Oreochromis niloticus: one gene and its partners. The main gene of each other region encodes a partner of the protein of the gene in region 2 in a complex. Links are inferred from orthologs where the notes say so. Each region holds a gene or a part of one and is shown on either strand. Other genes may lie near its edges.

Region 1 (7,942 bases), on a different chromosome or scaffold from region 2:
AAACAGAGAAAATCCTCCTGCATCAAGAACAACCATCATCAGTTCTTGACATGTGATTGAAGACACTGGACAATGCCAGTAGTGCATTTTTTTAATGAAACTGTACTATTTGCAAGGCCAGTGATTCTAACCTCTCCCAAGTTTTTGGCAATATGGTCAGGTCAATGTCTAGCCTTGAAATAAATAACAGACTTGGGAATGCTGGGACTGAAATATTTGTTACGGATAAAACTCTTCTTGCTGCAATTTGTCTATCCACAACAGTAATGTAACTTAACAGTAGACGACTGGGGAAAAAAATCAATGTAATGATGAATCCAAGTGAGAGATTTCTGTCTGTAACATAATTTGTCTGTAGCAAATTAGACGTGTTGTCTTATTTGTCAAAGTTTTGCAAGAACTACTTGAAAACTATATAAGACTACGAATAAAGAGTGCTGGCTGACATCAACTTTTTCCTCCACAGTCATTGGACCTCAGCCATGCTGAACATTTAACTGCAAAGGCCAAGCATTCACTGATTTCTCAAGAAGATGTTTGGAACACTTTCAGATCGTACCAGGAAAACATGCCTTATCGGTTTCTGCACAAACTTGCCGCGTGCACTTTCAGTTTGAGTGATGTTATTAAAGCCAAGACAGTTGAGGGAAGAGCAGAGAGGGGTGTGTTAAGCTGATAAAGTCATTGTAATGTACTATTTGTCAATCAAGTTGAATTCAAATGAAAAAAAGAAGCAACAGAAACTCATTTAGTCATCTTAGAGTTTGGAGCTGATTGTATATAGACTCCATGTGTGATTACAGCAGTGACGTGGGATGAAACACACTTTCAGGCAGGCACCTAACTAGATGTGAATGATTTTCGGCTTATGGCTGAAGTCAATCGTTTGCTGAGCTCCTGCAAGCTGAAGGAGCCAGTTAATGGGCATGTGGTCCAGGCGGTTCATGTCAAGATGGGAAAAATGAACTTTAGAGCCTGTAGAGAGGGAGAAAACAGTGAGTGTGAGGAAAAAAGATATAATGCAGTGCCAACATTAACACATAACATCATATATATATATATACATATATATGTGTGTGTGTGTGTGTGTGTGTGTGTGTGTGTGTATAGGGAGAGAGAGAGAGAGCGAGACCAACTTACCAGGTCCTGCAATGATGGCTCCACCTTGTTGATGTAGGTCACCCTGAAAATCAAATGCAGGACTAGTCATGGCTCTCCATATAGTCTTGATTTGGCCCATAAAAATGCCAGACTTCACATGGGGACTAGGCTGCGCTGAGTTCACAAACACAGATACAAAGACGAAGTTTCATTATCATCTCAAAATAAGCTTACTCATACACTCCAATAGTGTTTTTGCATACCAGAGTCTGTGAATGTCTCCTCTCTCTTCATCCCCAGCTTTTGGTAAATGCGCCTCCCTGGGTCCACATATATTTCATAAGGATACCCCGTGAGCAAGCAGAACGACTACATGACAGAACAAGGAGAAAGAGTACATTTGTCTGGAAAACTATAGTGCCTGCTGTGATATTTATATACACTCATCAGACACTGTAATAGGTACCACTCGCAAGTACTGAGTTAGACCTTAATTCTTTGTGGCATACATTCAACAGAGATTTTGGTTCATATTGAACTGATAGCATCACACAGTTGGTGCAGCTTTGATGGCTGCACATCCATTATGCCAAAGACGTTCTACTGGATTGTAGTAGTGGAAATTCTTATATAGTGAATAGTGAATTCTTTCTCTTCCTTGAACTAGTTTTGATTATTGATGATTTGATGTGTTATCCTGCTGGAAATAGCCATCAGAAGATGCAAATACTGTAGTCAGAAAGGGATGGACGTGGTCGGGATCAATACTCGGGAAGGTTGTGGAGTTTAAATCACACTCAATTGGTTCCAAGTGGCCCAAGGTGTACCAAGAAAATATGCCCTCCACCATTATACCACCAGCAGCCTGAACAGTTCAGAATCAATCCACGCTTTCATTCTTTTTTTACTTCAGATCCTATCATCTGAATGTTGAAGCAGAACTGGAGACTCATGAGACCAGAATGCATTTTTCCAGACCTCTATTGTCCAATTTTGGTGAGCCTGTGCAAACTGCAGCCTCAGTTTCCTGTACTTAGCTGACAGGAGTGGCTCTAGGTGTGGTCTTTTGCATATTTTGGTTCTAACAAGTGGTTATTTCAGTTACTCGTGCCTTCTTATCAGCTCGAAGCAGTCTGGACATTCTCCTCTTACTTTTCACACAGACAACTGGTGCTCACTGGATATTTTCCCCTTTTTTTTCAACCATTCTCTGTAAACCTTAGAGATAGCACTGTGGCAAAATTCCAATAGAGCGCCCACATGTCAAAACCAGACTCAATTAAATCACCTTTCTTCAAAACTTCAGCGAGTTGTTTTGACCATGTCTGCATGCATAAATGCACTGAGTTGCTGCCATGTGGTTGGCTGATCAGGTATTTGCTTTAACAAGCAGCTGAACAGGTGTCCTAACAAAGTGTCCAGTGAGTGTATATATAACAAAATAATTACCTCTATGTGATGATAAGCAGACTGACCGATCACGACCAGTCTAATTTCAGCATCCTGCAACAACACACACGGAATTTTGGATTTGTCATGATCAATTATTTATGTTAATACTCATCAGACCTCCTATTGTTTTAACCGAGCACCTTTGCTGCCAGTGTCGCAGCTATGCTCTTTGTTTTCACAGCCTCGAGTGCACTGGTCCTTACTAAACAAGACTTACCTCCAGTACTTCTCTGGGTATTTTTCCCAAATCATCAACATACTCTTTACAGCTGTAGCACAAGAAATTCTGCAGGGACACATATTAAATAAAATGTTAAAAGGCTGTAGTGATGAGAGAGAGATCACTGCATTTAAAAATTCACATCTTGCGCCTATATAACATGTATCCCTCTGGCTTCACCTATGGAGAACGATCTCTTCATTCGTCCATTTCCAACATAGCACAGGAAATTCTTGGAGCATCTGGCCAGCTACACCTGGGCTCACCTGGTACCTACTTTGAAGCCTATCAAGACCCATTTAAAAGCGCAACTTAAGGGAGGGTGCTTATGCGAACCCATAACTCATCAGCAAAGTTAAGCCAAATGAAGTTTTCCCTACCCGCACAAAAATTATGACCGATTTCCTGTCTTGGTATAGGGTCTTGAACGGAATAGAAACTCCATGCCGGTCGTAAATTAAACAGTCTTCGACGTCTCTGAGATTAATATCCACAAAACAGGTCACATTTTCCTGGCTTCCTTTAGTTACTTGTCGAGTTATTGGTGAAACTACTTCAGCCATTTTTTTTCCTCAGAGGATCCAGAATTCGCAGTGCTGCTATTTTGGGAGTTGCCATTCAGCCTGGAGGAGCTGGTGCCTGGAAAATTCACGCCCATATGCTCCCTCTCTCTCTCTCTCGCTCTCTCTCTAGGAGAACGAAGACAGACGGCCAACACATATTCATTGGTTAAACATTGCAATGTTTAACCATTGGTTAACCATTGGTTAAACATTGCAATGTTTAACCAATGGTTAATATTATCTTACTCTCCGGATTTAGTGTATAAACAAGGCAATACAAACAGAAACTGACCGGTGCGTCAGTGCGTCAGTGCGCACGCTGTGACTTCACAATAACAGTTAGCAACATTTATTTATATATATTTCAGCTCATATTTCAGTGAACAACATTGCCATGGGAATTTACAATGAAGGACAGTTTGAACTGTACATCCAGATTATTATCTCTCTCTCTCTCTCTCTCTATATATATATTAATTTTATGCAGTAGACGTACTGTACAGTTCGGTACTGTAGACAATTACATGTGCTATGTATATTGTCGTTAACAGTCTCTCATTCTGTGTTATGTTTATAAATTATAATTTTATGCCCTGATTCTCTCTCCCCAAAGTGTTTTTTTTTTTCTGAGCTCCGCGCAAGACCAAGTTGGCTGCAGTATACTGTAGTTGCTGCAGAAAACCCAGTTAAGTTACATACAACTGTAGATTTTATCCTATTTGTGACTTTTAAGTTTTACATTTCATACTTTAGTCTAATAGTGCTTGGTGGTCTACTTGATGTGTTTAATGCATGAAACGTTTGGAATATAAACAATGAGTTACATGAATATTTAAATAAATGAAATGAACTTCTGATTAACTTTGATTTATTTTGGCAGTATGTCTATATTTTATGCTTGTTTTATGTTGGATGCATTCTTTGAATTCGCATAATATGCAGCGTGTGTAGACACTTGGCAGCTTCAGTACAACCAAACCTACAGGTGGAGCTACTTCATTTACAATATCAACTATTATGTTCACGAATAAAATCTGATTATTTTTTGGGAGTGACCAGAATGGACAGGATTAGAAATTAGTGCACCAGAGGGACTGCTCATATCCAGTGCTTGATGATTTAGACAGGCAAGGCTGAGGTGGTTTGGACATTTGAAGAGGAGCGGTAGTGGACAAAAGGTGCTAAATGTGTAGCTGTCAGGGAAGAGGAAGACCAGTAAATAAATTAACTGCAAGAGTAAAGGTGTTAAGACTAGAAATTTATAAGGTAGGTAGTGTTTTCTGTAGCAACCACTGTCAGTAGCTTATTTTGGGGCGGTTGTCCAGTTTTCCTATGGTTAATAAATTAAAAGTTTGCTACTTTTGTTTAAATAAATAATCTAAACACGATACAAAATGATTCCCATTAGGAGACAATAGCTTAATATTTTGACCCTGTGTTTTCTAAGTCAGTTTTCAAGGCTGTATTTACTTATCATTAAACAACAACAACAACAACAAAAAATCAATCCCATGATTGGTTCTTCTCTATCCCCCAAATCCTGGGAACAGGATTTTCATTGATGGCGAATTACGAATCGCCCTCGTCGGCTTCCTTCCCGCTGCCCTCTCGGTGCGGAAGTGCTGTCCTCAAGAGCAACAGCAGCAGCAGCAGAGGTACAACCAGAGCTGCTACTGTTTTGGAAGAGCAGAACGGCGATTTAGTGGCCGGTTTTCCTGCGCCCGCGTCTCTCCTGTCGGGGCTCGTCACCGTTCATCTTGACCGTGGAGCTTAGCAGTATTATGCGAGCGCAGTGCGGAGTGTGGGAGCACCGTGTGAAGTGGTGAGAGATGATTGCTTTTGGGGCTATAGCTAACTTAGCATCTGGGGATGGAGCAGGCTAGCCTGACAGAAAACTGCGAAGCAATCTCGTCTTTCTTTCCCTCAAAAACAACGTTAAGTTCGTGTGAATGTTGAAGACAAATGTGCGGCAATTCCAGGCAAACCGCAGGTGTCACGTTAAGTCTGCTTTGGCGTTTCTACATGCTAAACAAATGACCACCTGTTCACTGTTTACATCTCTGTGTTTTGATTCAGCAGCCACCAACCGGTGCTGCACCGCTGCAGTTATCCGACGAGATTTTTCACGTCCTCAACAAATATGGATCATTAAAAACCAAACAAAACAGAAACAACCCCAAACCCCCAAAACATTTTTCAAATTATGCACAGCGTCCACGTCTGAATCTTTTCCATCGTAGGGAAGCACGGGTGCAAAGCTTGCTGCTCTTTGTTGTGTGCTGCGCTGAGATTTAGGCTTTACTCTTAAATTGTGAGTGTTTTTAACAAATAACATCAGTATTTCATTGCAGTACTGTGTTGTTGGGCTCTCCGGTGCTGAGTTTAATGACACATGTGGTTGCTGTGAGTCTTGTCCATCGTCATGTCTGTGTCAGCAGAAAGGACTGTCCTGATTGTTGTTGACATACAGGATCAGGCTCAGATTTTTCTTTTCTTTTTGTGTGGAAATCTGTGCTCACGTGCTGTTATTTACACGAGCCCACCATGATCACAAATGCATCCTTACTTCCAGATTAAGTTAATCTCACTCTCCACCCCGTGTGTGTGTCAGACAACTCTAGCGTTATCTTGTAAAGTTCCCATCTTTTGTTAAGCATTCTTTCACTGCAGCTATGAAAAACAGCCTTGAAAACATTGCAGCTTTGAAGGATGGGCATTAGATTTTCCTACTAAAGGTTCATGTTGACTTTGCCTTTAGGGAAAAGAGGAACATTAAAGAAGCTAATAAAATGACAGGCTTAATAAAGCACGAAAAAAGCCTCATTAAAAAAGGAGATAATGATAATGATAGCTGTTAGTGATCCTGCAATTTTCCCATATTATTTTATTTATGCGGGGCAAAACATTGTTAGCAAAAAGACATTTTCTGTAAATTGATGAGATACATCTTTACTCATAAAATTGTATTAAAAGTATTATATGTACAGCAATGTTTTGAATAGTCATTTTAAGGAAAAGAAAGGATATCTTTTGTTCTCTTAATTATACAGGGGCTAAATAATTAGCCTAAGCTATTTTTATGTAATGACTACAATAAATTCGTAGTACTGAGGATGGAAACTATCAAGTTCTTTTTTCATTGAATAGTTTTTTTCTGCATTGTGTATTTTTTGACGCCAAGTCTTAACACTCAACTTTCATAGAATTTTCATATCATAATAAACTAGCATCCTTCGCTCTCACAACAGCCTTGTTCACGACACCCATCAACCTCCTCTGAGGTCTTTCTCTTTTCCTCCTGCCTGGCAGCTCCATATTTAACATCTTTTGTCCATTATATCCACTAACCCTGTGCTGCACATGTCCAAACCATCTCAGCCTTGCTTCTCTAACTTTGCCTCCAAACTGCTTGCCTTGAGCTGACCTTCTGATATGCTGATTTGTAATCTTGTTCATCCTGGTCACTGCCAATGAAAATCTGAGCATCTTCCACTCTGTCACCTTCAGCTCGGCCTCCTGTTAGTGCTGAAACATATAATATATATATTTCCAATCATTTTTTTCTGTTGTTCCAGAGTTTCCTTGAATCATCTATATGGGCCATCTTTTTTCGAAAAATGGTTATCGCCTGAAGAAGAGGACACGCAAGTTGCATCACAGGAAGAAGAAGAAGAGGAACTGTTTTCTGCACGGGCCCTGCATGCTCTGCTTTATCGTCCACGGCAACAGCGGTGGTTTCGACGACGAGAGCGACCACTTCGAGGCCAACGGGTGTCGACACAACAGCATCACGGGAATCAGCGTCCCAGGTGTTGGCGGAGTCGGCATCGGAGCGGCAGCTGCCACGAAGCTTGCGGAGCGATACGCAACTCTCGCATCTCCGGAGGATTGCTCCAAGTTCTTGTTGTCACCGAGGGAACTTGCTATCTGGGAGGGCCAGGGGAGGAGCCTTTTGTCAGCTGTTCCTGCCAAACTAATTCCACCACCGGCCCTCTTCCGTACCGCTGGTGTGTCTGTGACTGTGCCCATACCTGTGCCTGTGCCTGGCTGCACCAGCGATTACACAGAGATGGTAGGCATCCGGTTCGGAGCATTAATTCCTAATTAATATAGGCTTTTAATAAGTTTCAAATAACTGTATTGGATATTTATTTACATTTAACAGTGCCTCAACGTTTTTAGTAACAGGGCTATAAGCTACAGATTACACATGAGAAATGTTTATAGGTGCTTTAAACTTGCTTAAAAAATGATATTATGCAGTTAGAAAGGTAAACTTTGACTTTTCTTTGTCCTTAAATATCTCTTAAGTCAAAGCTGTATTCTTTCTAGTCCTTCTTTTATTTTGTTCTTATTGAGGATCCAAACTCAGGGGTGTTGTTCTCATAAATTTCTGTCTGTAATTGTAACTAAATCTGCCTGAAAATCTGATACCAAGTGACCTCTGTGTGTGTGTGTGTGTGTGTGTGTGTGTCCGATTGCAGGTGTGTAAGAGGAAGTGCTCAGAGGTGCAAAGGTGCACCCCTTGTAAGCAGCCGCGCTGTGCCTTCGCTGCTCCTGATGGAGGGCTGGAGAATGGAGGTGGGGGGGAGGCGGCCTCGAACTC
Region 2 (7,306 bases):
AAAAACACTTTTCTTCATGTTCATGCTTGCTGATCAGGTAACACCTGCTGTAAAGGTTTAGATTGTGATCAGTTTCAAGTCAAACCTTGTTCTTTAATGTACGTCTGCGTTAACTTAACCCTTCTGAAACCCCGGTTTACAGTTCATGCAGATCTACATTCAGTCACAAATGTGAAACAAACTCTTCGCCTTTTCGCTGTATTTTTCACGACTCTAATAAACGTTTCCTCATTTCAGTACCTCAAACACTTCATTTAATGGTAAAACCGGTTGATACCAGCATGAAAAGCAAATCAAGCAAAGGTTTGATTCACAGGTGAACTCAACTGCAAGGAGCCGGCCAATCAGTGTGCTCGACGTACTTTTTAAACTCAGGCCATCAAGTTCTGTTGAACCTGCACGTGCTGAACAAAAGTGTAGAAACAAGATGACGTGAACCATCAGACACGCATTTCAGCTTTCAGCTTTTACATTTGAGCAAAAGGGCCAGTAAAAACAGCAGGACAGTAACAGGTTCAACAAAGGTGTAAATATAACTGCTCTTTGGCATCTTTGTGTGTTTAGACTCTGAAGACGGTAAAACAGATGATGGTGAATACCTTTAATGTCTTTGGCCCACTATAATAAAAGCCTTTTGTCACCTGTTGGCCTTATAATCAGTTTTCTTTTTTAATAACAAATAGGTGACGCCTCACTTATGAGGACAAAAGTGTACATGAAAATCCAATAATTAACACTGTCCTTCAAAATAAAAGCCCTGATAAAGAAAACTAGCAGGCGTTAAACCCTGAGGAGAAACTTCTCTCTTTAAAACTCATCTGAACTGCAGCATTTTAAAACACTGTGGGAGAATCAGCTTTAAAATCAATATAAGGACAAACTCAAAGAAGGAGAAAGCACAGGTAATAAGGTGACTCTGATTACACAATTTTGAGCTGATTATTTCACAATTACATACTGCCGAAGATGCAGATTTATGCAACAAAGTTTAAAACTTGGACTTTACCATAATTTGAGTCTATTTCGACACCTAAAAACACATATTTAAACACTTCATGCCATTGTGGGGGGAAAAAAGTGCCCTACAGCGCTTCATTTAAACAGCAATGCCCTCACTTCTTTATGTTTTTCTCCCTGAGGAGCAAAACTTTCTGCTGGAATATTTCTCCAGCTTTCTGAAGGTCTGTCAAAGTTTTTCTTTGGACTTTAGCTGCTTTTTCACTCTGTTTCAGGCCAGTTTCAGAGGGAAAAAACTATCACTTTTTCTGATTTGTTTAGCTGAATATATTTAATAAAAATGCAGAAGACATTTCTTGCACTATTAGCCAAAGTCTTGGCATTTCTTGACATGTTGTACAGTGAGCCCTCAAAGAAAGAAAGAAAAATGTATCAATCCGAATTTAAAATTTCTGTTTGTCAATATGTACTGAGGTGAGGAGAGCAGCACACCAGTGAGTGTCTACAGCCACTGGGGGCCCTATCATGCTTCATCCAGTGGTGTATCAATGGTCAGAATTATAAACAGTGATGTTTAGATTATGAGTCACCATACAATACCATGGTTACTCATGAGAGCAATGAGCCCACACACACACTGTCCGTGTAGCAAAGACATATATGAATAGAAAACAGACAACTGACGACTGTCAGTTATGGATTCACCTCCACAGAGCCCCACAGCACTGAAGCACTGTGGGATCATGTTGACGGACCAGAACAAAAGACAAACATCCAAAGAAAAGCTTTGAATGTCTGAAGCCTGGAGGACTTTTTAAAGAGTGCTCAGATAACATGGCTCAAACTCCTTAGACTTGTAAAAACTCGGATTTTGCTTTATTTATATTTTAATTTTTTATAAATCGCTGCACATATTTCCCATTACTCCAGAAAAACACAAAGGAGTGAGGTGTAACTCAACTCAAGACTTTTGCTCTATATTGTCCTGTATACTGACAAATACTAGGACTCCATAAAAGGGAAGAAATAATAAGTGAACTAAAGTAAAGAGTTAGAATCCTGTGCAATAGTCATTGACTCTTAATATCTCGTTTTAACGATCAGGGTCTAAAATAAGTGCACTATTTAAATTAAGGAGAACTGTAAGGACGTATATCCAGGAATCTCGATTAGTATGAAAACAGACGTTTTCCAACAGCTGCTTCCCTCTGGCAGCTCAGTGTCAGCAGTACCTCTGACTTCGAGCTTCTCCTAATATCTTAGGAAATGAGCGACCGTATCGCTGCTCCGCTTCACCAGTTGTTCCAGGAGTGTGTCCTGTTCGAATGACCAGACCGCACCGCACCACACGGTTCACAGGGATGTGCTCGAAAAAAGCCTACCCCCGACGGATACTTGGACATATTTGGAATATAATGATCCCCAGTATCTGTTAATTTGGAAAATATTCACTGTGATTATTCCCCGGAATGGAGTCAGGCGCTGCTACGCAATACTGCTAGCTCCCATTAGCCTCTGAGGCTCGATTAGCCTGGTAGCTCCGTCTGCTGCCCGAACGCTGGATGGACCAGCTTCAAATCAAAGCACAGCCTCTATGTGACCCACATTTATCAATCGCTTACACACATGTGTGGTACTGGGACTGTATTCAACATAAAGGCTGTCTTCTTACAGTCAAAGGCAGAGGCCAGGACAGACTAACAGCCTGGTGTAAAATGGCAGCCTAGCTCCTCGAGCTTCTCAATAATGAGTCAGGAAAACAGTTCGCTAACCGCCTAGCATTAGCGTGCTGGCTCTCCGCTTAACAGGCTGAGAGAAAAAAAAATCTTCCCCGGCCCAGCTCTAAAATGTCACCTTACCATTTTAAAGCAGTCCCAGTCACTTTGTAATCGCCGGATGAGTTGTTTTCAGGCCAAAAATCGGTGTCCCGCTGCCGTCTCTGAGTGTGTTTGCTGTCGGTGGCTAACTACGACTGCTGCGCTGCTTCGTTCGCACAAAGATCAGCTCACAGCGCCGCGGCCACTGACTGCAGTTGCCTTCAGGCTCCCTCGGAAATACGCACAGCACCGCCGACACACGCATGCACTCTTTATTATTAAAGAATAGGAGGGCTACAAAATACGGACGTTTGTTTCTGCCACTGAAAAAAAAACATACCAGACAGAGGTGAGACAAAATTTAAACCAACTGCCTCAAAGTTGAACTTTTAAAATAATGACTTACATTTTTGACTTAACTCTGCCTGGCATTTTTTTCTGTAACTGAAAAAATACTTCATAAATAACATTGTGAAAATAATATTGGAAGTTTTTTCTTTCTTTCAAGTTTTCCATTCGGAGAAACAAGTCCAGAATATTCCAAAATGAAGTGAAAATACTATTCCAGATGAAATACTAATAATACAGTCTAAATAAAATCCAAATACTGACAGTAAAGTTGAAATGCTTATGATTTACCCCCTGATTATTTGGATAGATGTGTATCAGTGGTTTTGTATGCAATACTAGTTAAATTGTGAAATACTTCTCTGTATCTGCAGTTACAACATCTGGAGTTCCACAAGGATCTATGTTGGGGGACTGTTTTGTTGTTGTTGTTGTTGTTTTTGCTTTTAACATTCATCCTTCCTGTCAGTAAGCCTGGTGAACTCAGACCCAGGACCCTCTTGCTGCAAGGCAACGCTGCTAACTACTTTTAACCAATTTTAAATTTGACAAACAAATAGGTGCTGAGGTTGAGAACACTTTGTTCTAACGCTAACATTCCCCAAACATGTGGGGAAAACATGCCTGTTACAGGCTGAACACCTGTTTTGTCAAACATTTACCACCTGCTGATCTCTGAAACTGTCGCTCATGGACAGTTTGTTGTTGTGTGTTTTTTAATGCAAGTAGTGTGACTATGTGTTACAGGTGGGGGGATCGATCCAGATATTGATAGTATCAATACCATACTGGTACTGGTATTGGATCCATACTTTGTTTCTGTCCTGTAAGGTCAGCATGTAGCGCACTGAATTGTGTTCATTTGTGTTAAATAAATCAGTATTGGTATCAGCAATACTGGCCCTGTATTTATTTGGTATCATATCAATACCAAAATTTGCAGCATATCCCAGCACTACCATGTGTAGACAGAACCTGAGAAACATTCTGTTTTTCTCTCTCTAATATAAAGTGCATTAATTTAAATTTATTATGTAAATAATATTAACTTACTTACTAAGAATAAACTCAAGCTATAATTATGAGACTCAGATTTGCAAAAGAACAAACAAAGAATAAAACCTAAACTATTCACCAGGCCGGTGTATTTCAGGCGCTAATGGAGATATCTTTAGCTTACTTTGTAAAACCCATAACAATAAAAACACAGAACAGAGGTCAATCGCAGGTCAGGTCTTTTTCAACAATATCAGAGATTACAAATCGTTTATGAAAGACCCTTTGTTGATTTTATTTAATACTCTTGTTAATTTATTAATTTAATTCATTCATAAAGCTACACAAAAATTACACAAAATTACATAACTGAATATGCATTGTTTAAATTTAATGAAAAACCCAATTTCCATGTTTTGAGAACCAAAACTTGTGCTCAGACTTTGTGTTTACAGTCTATTAATGGTACTTATTGTAAATAACTGTGTTTAATGTAAAGAAACAACTGATTTTAGTTTGTGCTGAACTTCAGTAGAGCTAAGCCTGTAGTTATGATCATTAACAGTTAGAGCCCCTCCTCATCATTTTCTTCCTCTTCTTTGGTGCAACCCTATAAATACAGTGTACCCCTTTGGCCTCTCCCCTTTCCTACGATTCCCCTGTGGGAGAAGTTGGTGTCCTTTCTTTTCCAACACTGTACAACACACATATACAGTATATTTAGCCACCCTGATGTTTCTGATTATGTTTTTAGTTCAATTATTGTCATCACAGCTGTGGTGGGTTGAGCTAACCCTCTTCCCAGGAGCTGGAGCGGGCAAGTTAATGACTTTGAGGTCTTTGTTTCTTTTTACCTTTCATTGTCAGACACAACATAACATACCTTCACACCGTGTACATTGTAACATACCTGTAATAGATCCATATTTGGTAATATATCTATATTATTGCCAAAGCACTTTCTGGATGGATGCAAACTGCATTTCGTTGCCTGGTACTGGTAACATGTGCAATGACAATAAAGTTGAATTCTAATTCTAACAACGCAGGAACACACCGGTCACATATACATGTGATTTTACAGTATGTTTTGGGGTTTTTAAAACCTTTTTTGCATGCATGTTTGATTTATATTACTGTTCCCACAGCTTGGTTAAGCTTAACATTGAGTCTTTTTTCAAATTAAACATTAATCTGTGCTCTACAGCAGAAAACAGGGTAAAGACAGCAGAACTGCGAGTGCTACATGTACGATACTTTATTTGCAGTTTTTGGAAATGCGCTTGTTCAGCATGTGGCTCAAATATAACAAAGATCCAAACCCTAAATGACTTTAATTTAAATGATTTCAAACATGCATGTGTAGGCTTATCATTCAAATCTGATAAAAAACAGTTTGAAACACTGGTGTTTTTATCCAAAAATCAAATTTTCAAAGATTTTATTGATTTAAAGTTAATATTCTTTGTCTTGTCTTTATATAATAGTTTTTACTTTAATTACATTCCTTATATTTTGTCATTAAAATAACCAGAAATTAGAATTTTTTAATACTGGAAAAACAAACACAAAGAAACAAAAACATTCTAACACTGAAATGTCTGAGCTTCCCTGGATCCCCTGAATGCTACACCTGCTCCACAAAGTGGCCTCCCTATAAGGACTACAATCATGGCCTCACAGCTGCTTCCCTACAGCTGTCACGCATGCGCAAAGGTGGGTTTTAGTTGCCATATGACACATTTCAATTATGCATGCGTGATACAGAAGCACGATGCTGACATTTAGCTTCCTGGCCTTTAATGTGTGTATGTGAAGGTTATGCAAAGAATTCAAATGGCTCCTTTGACTTGCATTTGACTCATTCTAATGAAACATTACAAAAATAACCACAGTCCTCAGGTTCACTGTGTCTGTGCTTCTCACTGTGCTGTGATCGTTCTACATGAAGGTGTTTTGCTACAGGAATCTGAATGCTCTCCAGTCACCTTTCCTCTTTGTGCAGTGTGATGGTCAATCATCACCGTCTACCCACCCTGTGCACCGCCACAGCCTCTGAAACAGGCAGAACACGACCTCTGCTGGCATGGGAGGAAACACAAGCTTGGATTCTAGCAAGGAAGCATCCTCATCAAAGTCAAAGGGAAGGTGAATCCTCCCCGACGATCTCCGCTGCTGCTCCTGCTTCACTTTATCAGTAAATCCTGAGACCCAGGAGGTAAATTAAAGCTTCAGGTGTCACTGATTCTTTACATGTGTGCATAGATGTATAAAGTTTTACAAAATCTAAAGAAACAATCTCCCTCTCACCTCCAGGTGGTGTTGTGTGTGTCTTCTCCAAGCTTGTATCAACTACCACCTGACAATTTGAGCTTTTCATGTTTCCATAGCAGCCGGATGTTGGAGATTTCTAGTGCAGCTGGGCTGCAGGTAACTGTAACTGTTAGTTTATAAAAGATTTAAAATATTCTAAATAGAAATAATCACTGGCCAGATTCAGCAACCAGGGGCTCCAGCCCAGACCGCTGCCTGATCCACAAAGCACCAAACCCCTACGACCCCTCCTGTGGGTGGAAATCAGAAATCCGGACATGCCTCAAACACCTCGTAGGTGAGGCATTCCCGGTCTTACCTCTGAAACGTCATTGAAGGCAGTTTCAGAGTCGTGGAATAACACCGGAAAACTTTGCGATCTTCATCTTGAAGATGAGTTTTTCCAAATGTCAAAGAGCACGAGCGCTGCTTTCCACACTGAGCTGTGATGCCTCAGACAGAAACCAACTGCTTTAACATTTATTGTAAATATTAAGTGAACATTTTTATTGTTATTGCGTCACAACTTATGACTGACTCTCCTCTCTGCTGCGGGTGGCCACAGCCCGTTTATGTCAGTCCTGCTCTGCTGTCTTTGAATTATGTAAGAATGGAGAGTGGCGTGATGTGTTCACAGGCCACACCTCACAGTCGGTCAGAAGTGAAACGACTTTCATAATTAAGAAGTGTTACGTGAAGTCTGTTTGTTGCAGCAAACATTTTTATTTCCGGTGTTTGCAGCTTGAACACACGGACTCAGTCTGTTGGACACAGCTGCAGATTTAATGAAAACTACAAATAAAATAAAAACAAAGGTAAAGAAAATACAACAGAATCCTGCATAGAAAAGTGAATCTAACCAAACACATTCAACA
Region 3 (7,783 bases), on a different chromosome or scaffold from region 2:
AAGCGCACCGCGGTCATGAGTTCTCAGAATCGGCTCTTTGACCACAAGAATGACAATACCACGGAACTTAAGTTTGGATAACATCATAGAAAGCTCACGGCTCTCCAACGGGAGATTGAGAGACCAGTGTTGGACTGTTAGAACAGCTTTGAAATTCTTATGAGTTGTTCGCACTAAAGTAAAAACCATCATCATTTCATGCGGAGACCCCTTCGGCGCCAGCTGTGGTCTCAAGACTGGAGCTGTACAACAACACCCTGATTACAGACTGTGTTTAGACTGTTCTTCCCTTTCTATGCAAGGCCACCTGGGTTGGCTGGAAGACTATTTACTTAGCCCGGCAGGGCGAAGGACACTGTCTCAGCTGAACTCTGGACATACACACACACACGCACACAGACATATACACATGCAGATATACACTCATCCCCCCTCCCCTTCCAAACGCCTTCGACGCTTCCAATGCTGACGGTGGATCATGGAGACCAGCGCATAGGCTGCAGGCCCGGATGTACTGTCTACATTGGCTGTCTCTCACCCTTTACCCATCCCTGTTGCTTGTCATGTGTTTCTTTGGTGTATTAAGAGTTTTTTTCATGTGCTATGTGCAGAGGTGTTTTTTTCTGTTCTCAAACTGATCTCCCTGTTGGAGCTCAGTCTGGGGGGAGTTATTTTTTTCTCCTTATCTTTCCTCATGTTGTGCTTTTCCATGCTATACCCCTCTGACCTGTCTTCCCCATGTGATGTTTGTGTAATGTATGTATGGTCGGATGGGTAAGACGGCGCTGGCACGGCTGGCAGCCTTAATCCAATTTCCCTCGGGATGAATAAAGTATAATCAATCAATCTTTTAACATACAATAATTTAATAAGATAATTAAATGAAGATGGAAAATTAAGCAGAAAAACTGCTTACTGGCTCCATCTTATCTTACAAAATATGGCACATACTACACACACACACACACACTTGTACAGACAATAAGAAGCGTGGGGTGACTTCATGGTATGACCATGTCCACTTACATGGATGTGATTTTCTGCTATTGAATTCAGAAAAAACTGAAGTTATTGTGCTCAGCCCTGAAAATCTTAGAAATATAGTATCTAACCAGATACTTACTCTAGATGGCATTACCTTGGCATCCAGTAACACCGTGAGGGACTTTGGAGTCATTTTTGACCAGGATATGTCCTTTAATGCACATATTAAACAAATATGTAGGACTGACTTCGTTCATTTGCGCAACATCTCTAAAATTCAAAATATTCTGTCTCAGAGCAACGCTGAAAAAGTAGTTCATGCATTTATTACTTCTAGGCTAAACTCCTGTTATTCATTATTATCAGGATGTCCTAAAACTACCTGAAAAGTCTTCAGTTGATCTAAAATGCTGCAGCAAGAGTACTGACAGGGACTAGAAAGAGAGATCATATTTCTCCTATATTGACTTCATTTCATTGGCTCCCTGTTAAATCCAGAATTGAATTCAAAATCCACACATACAAGGTCTTGAATAATCAGGCTCCATCTTATCTTAATGACCTTATAGTACCATATCACCCCATTAGAACACCTCGCTCTTGCGCTGCAGGCTTACTTGTTGTTCCCAGAGTATTTAAAAGTAGAAAGGTAGGCAGAGCCTTCGGTTTTCCGGCCCATTTTTTATGGAACCAGCTTCCATAGAACACGTGGACCTCCATCCACATTTGAAATTTGTGACGAGGGGGGAAAATGCGCTGGATCTTCTTTACACAAACATTCCCAGAGTGTACCGAGCAAAGCCCCACCTCCAGCTCGGATACTCAGACCACTTGTCTGTTATGCTAATTCCAGGATACAGAACGCTCGTCAGACACTGCAAACTGGTTCTGAGACAGGTGAGAACCTGGCCTGCAGGAGCAATCTCTGCTCTTCGGGACTATTTTGAGCACACAGACTGGGATATGTTCAGGGAGGCAGCAACAAATGATGACTACACCAACTTGGAGTAGTACACATCATCTGTGACCAGTTACATCAGCAAGTGCATCGATGATATCCAAGATTACACGCCTTAACCAGAAACTGTGGATGACTTCAGAAGTGTGTGAGCTGCTAAAAACACAAGACTCCTTCAGAGCCAGCGACAAGGCGGCCCTGGGAATAGCAAGGGCCAAACTGTCTGGAGTCATCAGTTCAGCGAAGCGAGCACATGGCAGAAGAATCCATGGCCACTTCCCAGACAGCCGCAACACGCGGCACATGTAGCAGGCCATCAAGGCCATCATCAACTACAGGAAGAAGACACCTGGCTGTAATGGTGACGCCTCCCTACCAGATGCACTTAGCAACTTCTATGCATGGTTTGATGCTCAGAATGACGTGCTGGTGAGGAATTTTTGCACAATGCTCAGTCTTTTGGATCAGGCGACCCTGAATCCTCCCTTAGTCATGCTGCAGTAGGTATAGGCTGCTGGGGGATTCCTACAATACATTGAGTATTTCTTCTTCAGTCATCTTTCTCAATTACTATTTGTTAATAGACCTCTCTGCATTAAATCATACTTGTTATTAATCTCTGGTTCTCTTCCACAGTATGTCTTTTAACCTGTCTTCCTTCTCTCACCCCAACCGGTTGCAGCAGATGGCTGACCCTCCCTAAGCCTGGTTCTGCTGAAGGCTTCTTCCTGTTAAAAGGGAGTTTTTCCTTCCCACTGTCACCAGTGGGAAGTGCTTGCTCATAGGGAGTCATATGATTGTAGGGTCTGCCTTACAATATAAAGCGCCTTGAGGGACCTGTTGTGATTTGGCGCTGTATAAATAAAACTGAATTCAACTATGGATGTGAAAAATTCATATTTTGTAGTAGGAAAGTTGCTGCCAGTCAGGCTGAAACAATTATTTAATACGACTTGTACTTTTCACTTGATAAGCTTTTCTTTGAAACCTTCACGTCTGCCTTCCTAACACTCCTCTCAGTGGCTTTAGTCGTCATAGCAACCGGTCCCCGCAGGTGTGCAGTGAAGTCACGTTTTCTCTTTCAGGGTTATTTTATGATACCGCAGTTTTGTCCGTTTCCATATGTATGTAGACCCCATGGAGACGGGTATTCGGCTTACACACGCGTGCTCCCGTGCCGTTCTCTTGAAATCCAACAACGCATAGTTTGGCATAGGCTGAACGCTGATTGGTTGATAAGTGGGCCAAAGCAGACCCGAGAAACACGATCCGTTCTGCCATGTGCTCATGTCCTTACCTTTCACAATAAAAGCCCCTGAGTCCTGAATGCTTTGCAGTTTGACTAGAGCCATCACGCTAAGAAGCTGAATTAAATAGCTTACAAAGGTGAAGAGATTTGCAAGAGATTCTGAGGTATACATAAGAACCACATCATTGATTTAGAGGTATGAAATGAAAGACAGTAAATGATGTAACAGATTGGTGGCAGATGAAAGGGCGTTAAAAGTGGTTATCTTTCTAAAGACAAGAGCAATATTAAATGTCAACACTGAGTAACTGACTGAAATTAATATTTACCACATGTCAGAATAATTTATTAAATAAATTATCTATTTGTTTTTAAGTATTCACTGCTGAGGTTCTGATCAAAATGTTTCAACAGTGACATCTGCTGGCTAGATGGGGTAGGGCAATCCATGTGATTGTGCAGACAAGAAATCAGCAGGACTCTCACCTCTTCAGGATGTGATCTTTTACATTAATATAATGAACTTCCGTTTTTTTCCATGCTAATACTTATTCTAACAGCTGCGAAGGACTGTTAAATTAGGAGAGAATGGATTTTGAAGGGTACATTCATCAGCAAAAAAACGCACTGCTGTGGGAAGGAAAGTGCTGCTTTTGTGGCAGAGCTGCAGGCCTCTTTGCCTTAGCATTGGCACTGGATTTTGATATTGACAATGGAGTGTTTCACTGTTATTTTGGCTGTGTATTGTGATAGTCTATTTTAACCTATTTTAATAGAAACTGCCTATGCATTCAGAAAGACAAAATGAAAGGTTTTTCTACTTTTGAGTGGAAATAGATAATGTACTTACTGTATTAAGTCCTTTCATCCTCATGCTAACCCGTTACTCACATTCTATGCAGCCAGAAGCTACCAGAAAAACATCCATTAATTAGAGATGACCTATTTGTTAACAGTTCAGTTTTTTTCCACTCAGTGTGCAAATGTAATATAAACAGAGAAGCCATGCAAGTTCAGAGTGACCAAAACTCCAGATTCCAGACTCAAACAAAGTAAAATGATAACTTAATAAATGCTGACTTTACTGTTTTAGAAAAGAAAAGCGCATTTAGTCTCACATTTACTTCACTATTTATTTTACTGTAACAAAATTGGCTAAAGGTGTGTTGAGTTTAGGCAATGGAAACCACAGGCATTATGGTTGGTAACCTACTGCTAGCTTTCTGTTTAATTTGTTCTGTTTTAAAACTTGCATCGTTGTATAAAAATGATAATATTTAGGCCTATGTTAAATTCCTTATGATTGTTCTGTCATTTTACACATTTCAACAACAATTAAACAGTTAGTATGTTTAAAAAAATACACTGTCAGGTACTGTTTTTTTTTTTATTTCTCTCCAGTACACTAGAAAGTCATGATAATAGTTCTGGTAAATGTAGGATGTACATAGATTTATTTATTTTTTTAATTTTTTTTTTTTTAATTGATAATATATAGTTAATATTGGGGTGCTGAGGTGGGATTAGCGGGGGGCACCAAATTAAATTCCACTTAAGGCACCATAGAACCTTGGACCGGCTCTGAATTTGGGGTCTAACTAGTTAACAACATTCTTCCCTATACTTCAGCTTCCCCTCGGATGCACCAAGGGGAAACTGAAGTAAACGCCCACTTTTGGGAAGCGGAAGATGGGGATCTTGGGTTTCTTGCTGTAAACTGTAAGCAACCGTCTGAACTCCATTTATTTCGATGGTACATCTGCAGTAATTATGATAACTGTAAACTCCCGAAGAATGCGAAGACAAAGTCAGTGTCGCAGGCATGCGACGCCGGATGGATGGCTTGTCTAAACGTCGAGCCGACATGTGTTGACTATGGCAAACTGGTAAAAGGTAAGGACGTTTTGGCTAGCGTTAGTTACGCCGCTAGCTAACCGCGTTTAACTGCAGCAAACTTTCAGGGCAATATTGCAGGCCCTTAGTGGAGATATCGTTTACCGATACGCAAAATGAACAGTAAGGTTATATAATTCATATCTAGTTTTCGCTGTATTTTGTTTTTCGGCTAAAATTAACGCTGGTCGTGGCGCCATTTGGTGTTGATGTGCGAATATTAAAAACAAAACGCACTTGAATATCCTGTTGTGTAATATTGTGCGTCTTCATAATTGTTGTGTAACGGTTTGCGCTTCCTGTTGCCTGAAATGCGCGTGCATGTGTGTCTGTCTCTAGGTATCCCGCCCATCGCGGTGCTAACCAGCCGGCGTCTCTGCTGCCATGGAGGTGGGCAGCCTCCCCGTGGAGCTGTGGAGGGTTATCTTAGCCTATCTCCCTCTCCCTGACCTGGGCCGCTGCTGCCAGGTGTGCCGTGCCTGGCGGGAGCTCATCCTCTCTCTGGATAACACCCGCTGGAGACAGCTCTGCCTGGGCTGCCCTGAGTGCCGACATCCCAACTGGCCTAGTCAACCTCATCTGGAGCCCCCTTCGTGGAGAGAGGCCCTGAAACAGCATGCCCTTGCCACCCGCACCTGGACTCAAAATGGTCCAGAGCTCCAGTCCTCCGCTTGCCTCCTCTTCTTCCGCCGTCGGAAAGATCGCAGGGTTTGGCACGTGGGGCCGGGATGTGAGTTTGAGACCCTGCGCGGAGCCCTTGGGGTGGTGGGACCTTACGACCGAGTGGTGCTCCATCCAGGGGTGTATGAGGAGCAGGCTGAGGTAGCGCTGAAAGTACCGGTGGAGCTGGTTGGGTTAGGCCGACTAGGCGAGGTGGCCCTCTTAGTGTGTATGGAGCAGCAGTGCCCTACTGCCAGGCTGTGTAATCTGGTGTTCATGCCACCCTGGTTCTCCACGGTTGTCTACAAGGTGAAGTAGCAGCTTGTTTCCTAAGAGTCTCAGAGTCAGATTGGCCTAGTCTATACACTCCTATAAACACAAATTTCTTGAGAAAATAGAATCTAATTATAGTTCTTTGTTTCTTTCTGTCTTGCTCTCCTCTAGACATCCTGGGGACATGTCCAACTAGATAACTGCAACTTTGAGGGAGCTCAGCTGCAAGTCCGCGGGCCAGGAACCTGCCAGGCTCGGTTTTGCTCTTTCTCCCAGGGCAGCTCTGCACACTTGCTGGGAGTTGTCCTGAGTTTATTTGACAGCTGTGACTTCTCAGGAAGTGACACAGCTTCAGTGACTGTGGAAGGTCCCCCGGTCTCAGAAAGGAACTGGGCTTGTAAACATTTGGCAGCTCTGGCTAGGACGTTCCCATCATGTGGCCTATCTGAGCATAATAGTTCTCCCAAAGGACATCCGGCTGCCTCCACTGGTGGACACCAACCTCCAGGTGCTAATGTTAAAAAGGAGAGCATAACCATAGATGACTGGAAGAGGAGAACAGGGGTAGATGGGGTATGTCAGAGGACAGTGATTGAAGATGGCTGGAGTGATGGTGAGCGCAGTGAGGGAGAGGAGAACAGAGACGAGGGGGGGGCCAACAACACCAAAAAGCATTTTACACTGGAGTACAAAATCCCATGTGACCATCATGGCCTATCGCATTTGCTCAACCCCCAGCCAGATGGCTCTCTTCCGCTTTCCTCTTCCCCCGATCCCCCATCCATGATCCCTGACCCTCTCACCCTACAGCAGGAGTTAGACAGGGACCCAGAGGCTCACATGTTGGCAGCATCGACACTTGGCTGCATCCTCAGACGATGCCTCTTCAGGGACGGGAAGGGCGGTGTACATTTGTCCAATTATGGACAAGCTCGACTGGAGGAGAATGTTTTTCGTGGGCTGAACTACGCCGTGCGCTGCATCCAAAACTCCACAGTTAATAATGTTCCTAGTAACTTTGCTTCATACAAATGGCATGAATCTGTGATTGTGTATTGTGTGTATTCGGGAAACATATCAAGTTAAAGTAGCTCGGGTCATTAGTAATTTAACATCAGTGTCCTATTCAAGCTGCTACTTGATCACCTTCCTTTTCTGTCTCTCTCCTGCTTCAGATCGTAATGCTGAGAAACGAGGTCTGCGAATGTCGTGCATCAGGCGTGTTTCTGCGCCTCTCTGCTCAGGGCCTCATAGCAGAAAACAACATCCACTCGAACGGGGAGGCAGGGCTGGATATCCGAAAGGGGGCTAACCCAACCATTGTGGTAAATGCAACACAATTGCTGATTGGATTCCAACTTTTTAAAGATGCAAGCAAACAACAAAAAATTTCCTGTGATAGCATGTCCCAGACCCTTTCAGCAGCATGCCCAGATATCATGGATAAGGAGAATTTTGTTCACTACTCTTCTAACTTACTCAACTTAAGAGCTTAAGATGTTCTTGCGTGCATAAAACAAAAAGAACCAGAGTATGAATATTTATAATTTCCAGAAATGATCTATTCAGGCTTTCCAGATGAAACTAATTTCCTCAGTCTCTTTATCCACTATCAACTATTAATCCACAGTGCAACAAAATACACAGTGGTTTGCGCTCTGGGGTTGTTGTCCTTGGCAATGGAAAAGGTTCAATTCGAAGCAATCAGATTTACAACAACAAAGAAGCTGGGGTATATATTCTCTTCAGTGGAAATCCCGTGGTAA

Evidence for each region. Proteins that work in one complex are often made in the same cells at the same time.
Region 1: the proteins of cullin-1 (region 2) and fbxl17 are in contact, whole or in part, in a cryo-EM structure (PDB 8UBT), measured with the Homo sapiens proteins. The link is inferred for Oreochromis niloticus from reciprocal best matches to the Homo sapiens genes CUL1 and FBXL17. Residues at the interface, in NP_001357589.1 of Homo sapiens: Thr54, His143, Arg147, Asp150, Glu151; in NP_001156787.2 of Homo sapiens: Pro325, Ser327, Leu330, Asp358, Phe359, Gln360, Asn387.
Region 3: cullin-1 (region 2) and fbxo10 share a complex: the UniProt entries of both Homo sapiens proteins name them as parts of the SCF(FBXO10) complex. The link is inferred for Oreochromis niloticus from reciprocal best matches to the Homo sapiens genes CUL1 and FBXO10.

What each region holds. Positions count from the first base shown.
Region 1 is NC_031977.2:23,971,806-23,979,747, reverse strand, and holds the start of fbxl17 (F-box/LRR-repeat protein 17), read left to right. Parts: upstream 1-4,939; 5' UTR 4,940-5,158; intron 5,159-6,911; 5' UTR 6,912-6,931; coding exon 6,932-7,408; intron 7,409-7,820; coding exon 7,821-7,942. Other genes in the region: prxl2c (thioredoxin-like protein AAED1), read right to left, coding at 845-975, 1,141-1,275, 1,365-1,470, 2,551-2,604, 2,771-2,839, 3,154-3,336. UniProt on the Homo sapiens protein: Substrate-recognition component of the SCF(FBXL17) E3 ubiquitin ligase complex, a key component of a quality control pathway required to ensure functional dimerization of BTB domain-containing proteins (dimerization quality control, DQC).
Region 2 is NC_031974.2:2,231,111-2,238,416, reverse strand, and holds the start of cullin-1, read right to left. Parts: upstream 3,004-7,306; 5' UTR 2,817-3,003; intron 1-2,816. UniProt on the Homo sapiens protein: Core component of multiple cullin-RING-based SCF (SKP1-CUL1-F-box protein) E3 ubiquitin-protein ligase complexes, which mediate the ubiquitination of proteins involved in cell cycle progression, signal transduction and transcription.
Region 3 is NC_031971.2:22,576,814-22,584,596, reverse strand, and holds the start of fbxo10 (F-box only protein 10), read left to right. Parts: upstream 1-4,780; 5' UTR 4,781-5,084; intron 5,085-5,423; 5' UTR 5,424-5,468; coding exon 5,469-6,053; intron 6,054-6,188; coding exon 6,189-7,013; intron 7,014-7,192; coding exon 7,193-7,342; intron 7,343-7,647; coding exon 7,648-7,783. UniProt on the Homo sapiens protein: Substrate-recognition component of the SCF (SKP1-CUL1-F-box protein)-type E3 ubiquitin ligase complex. Mediates the ubiquitination and degradation of BCL2, an antiapoptotic protein, thereby playing a role in apoptosis by controlling the stability of BCL2.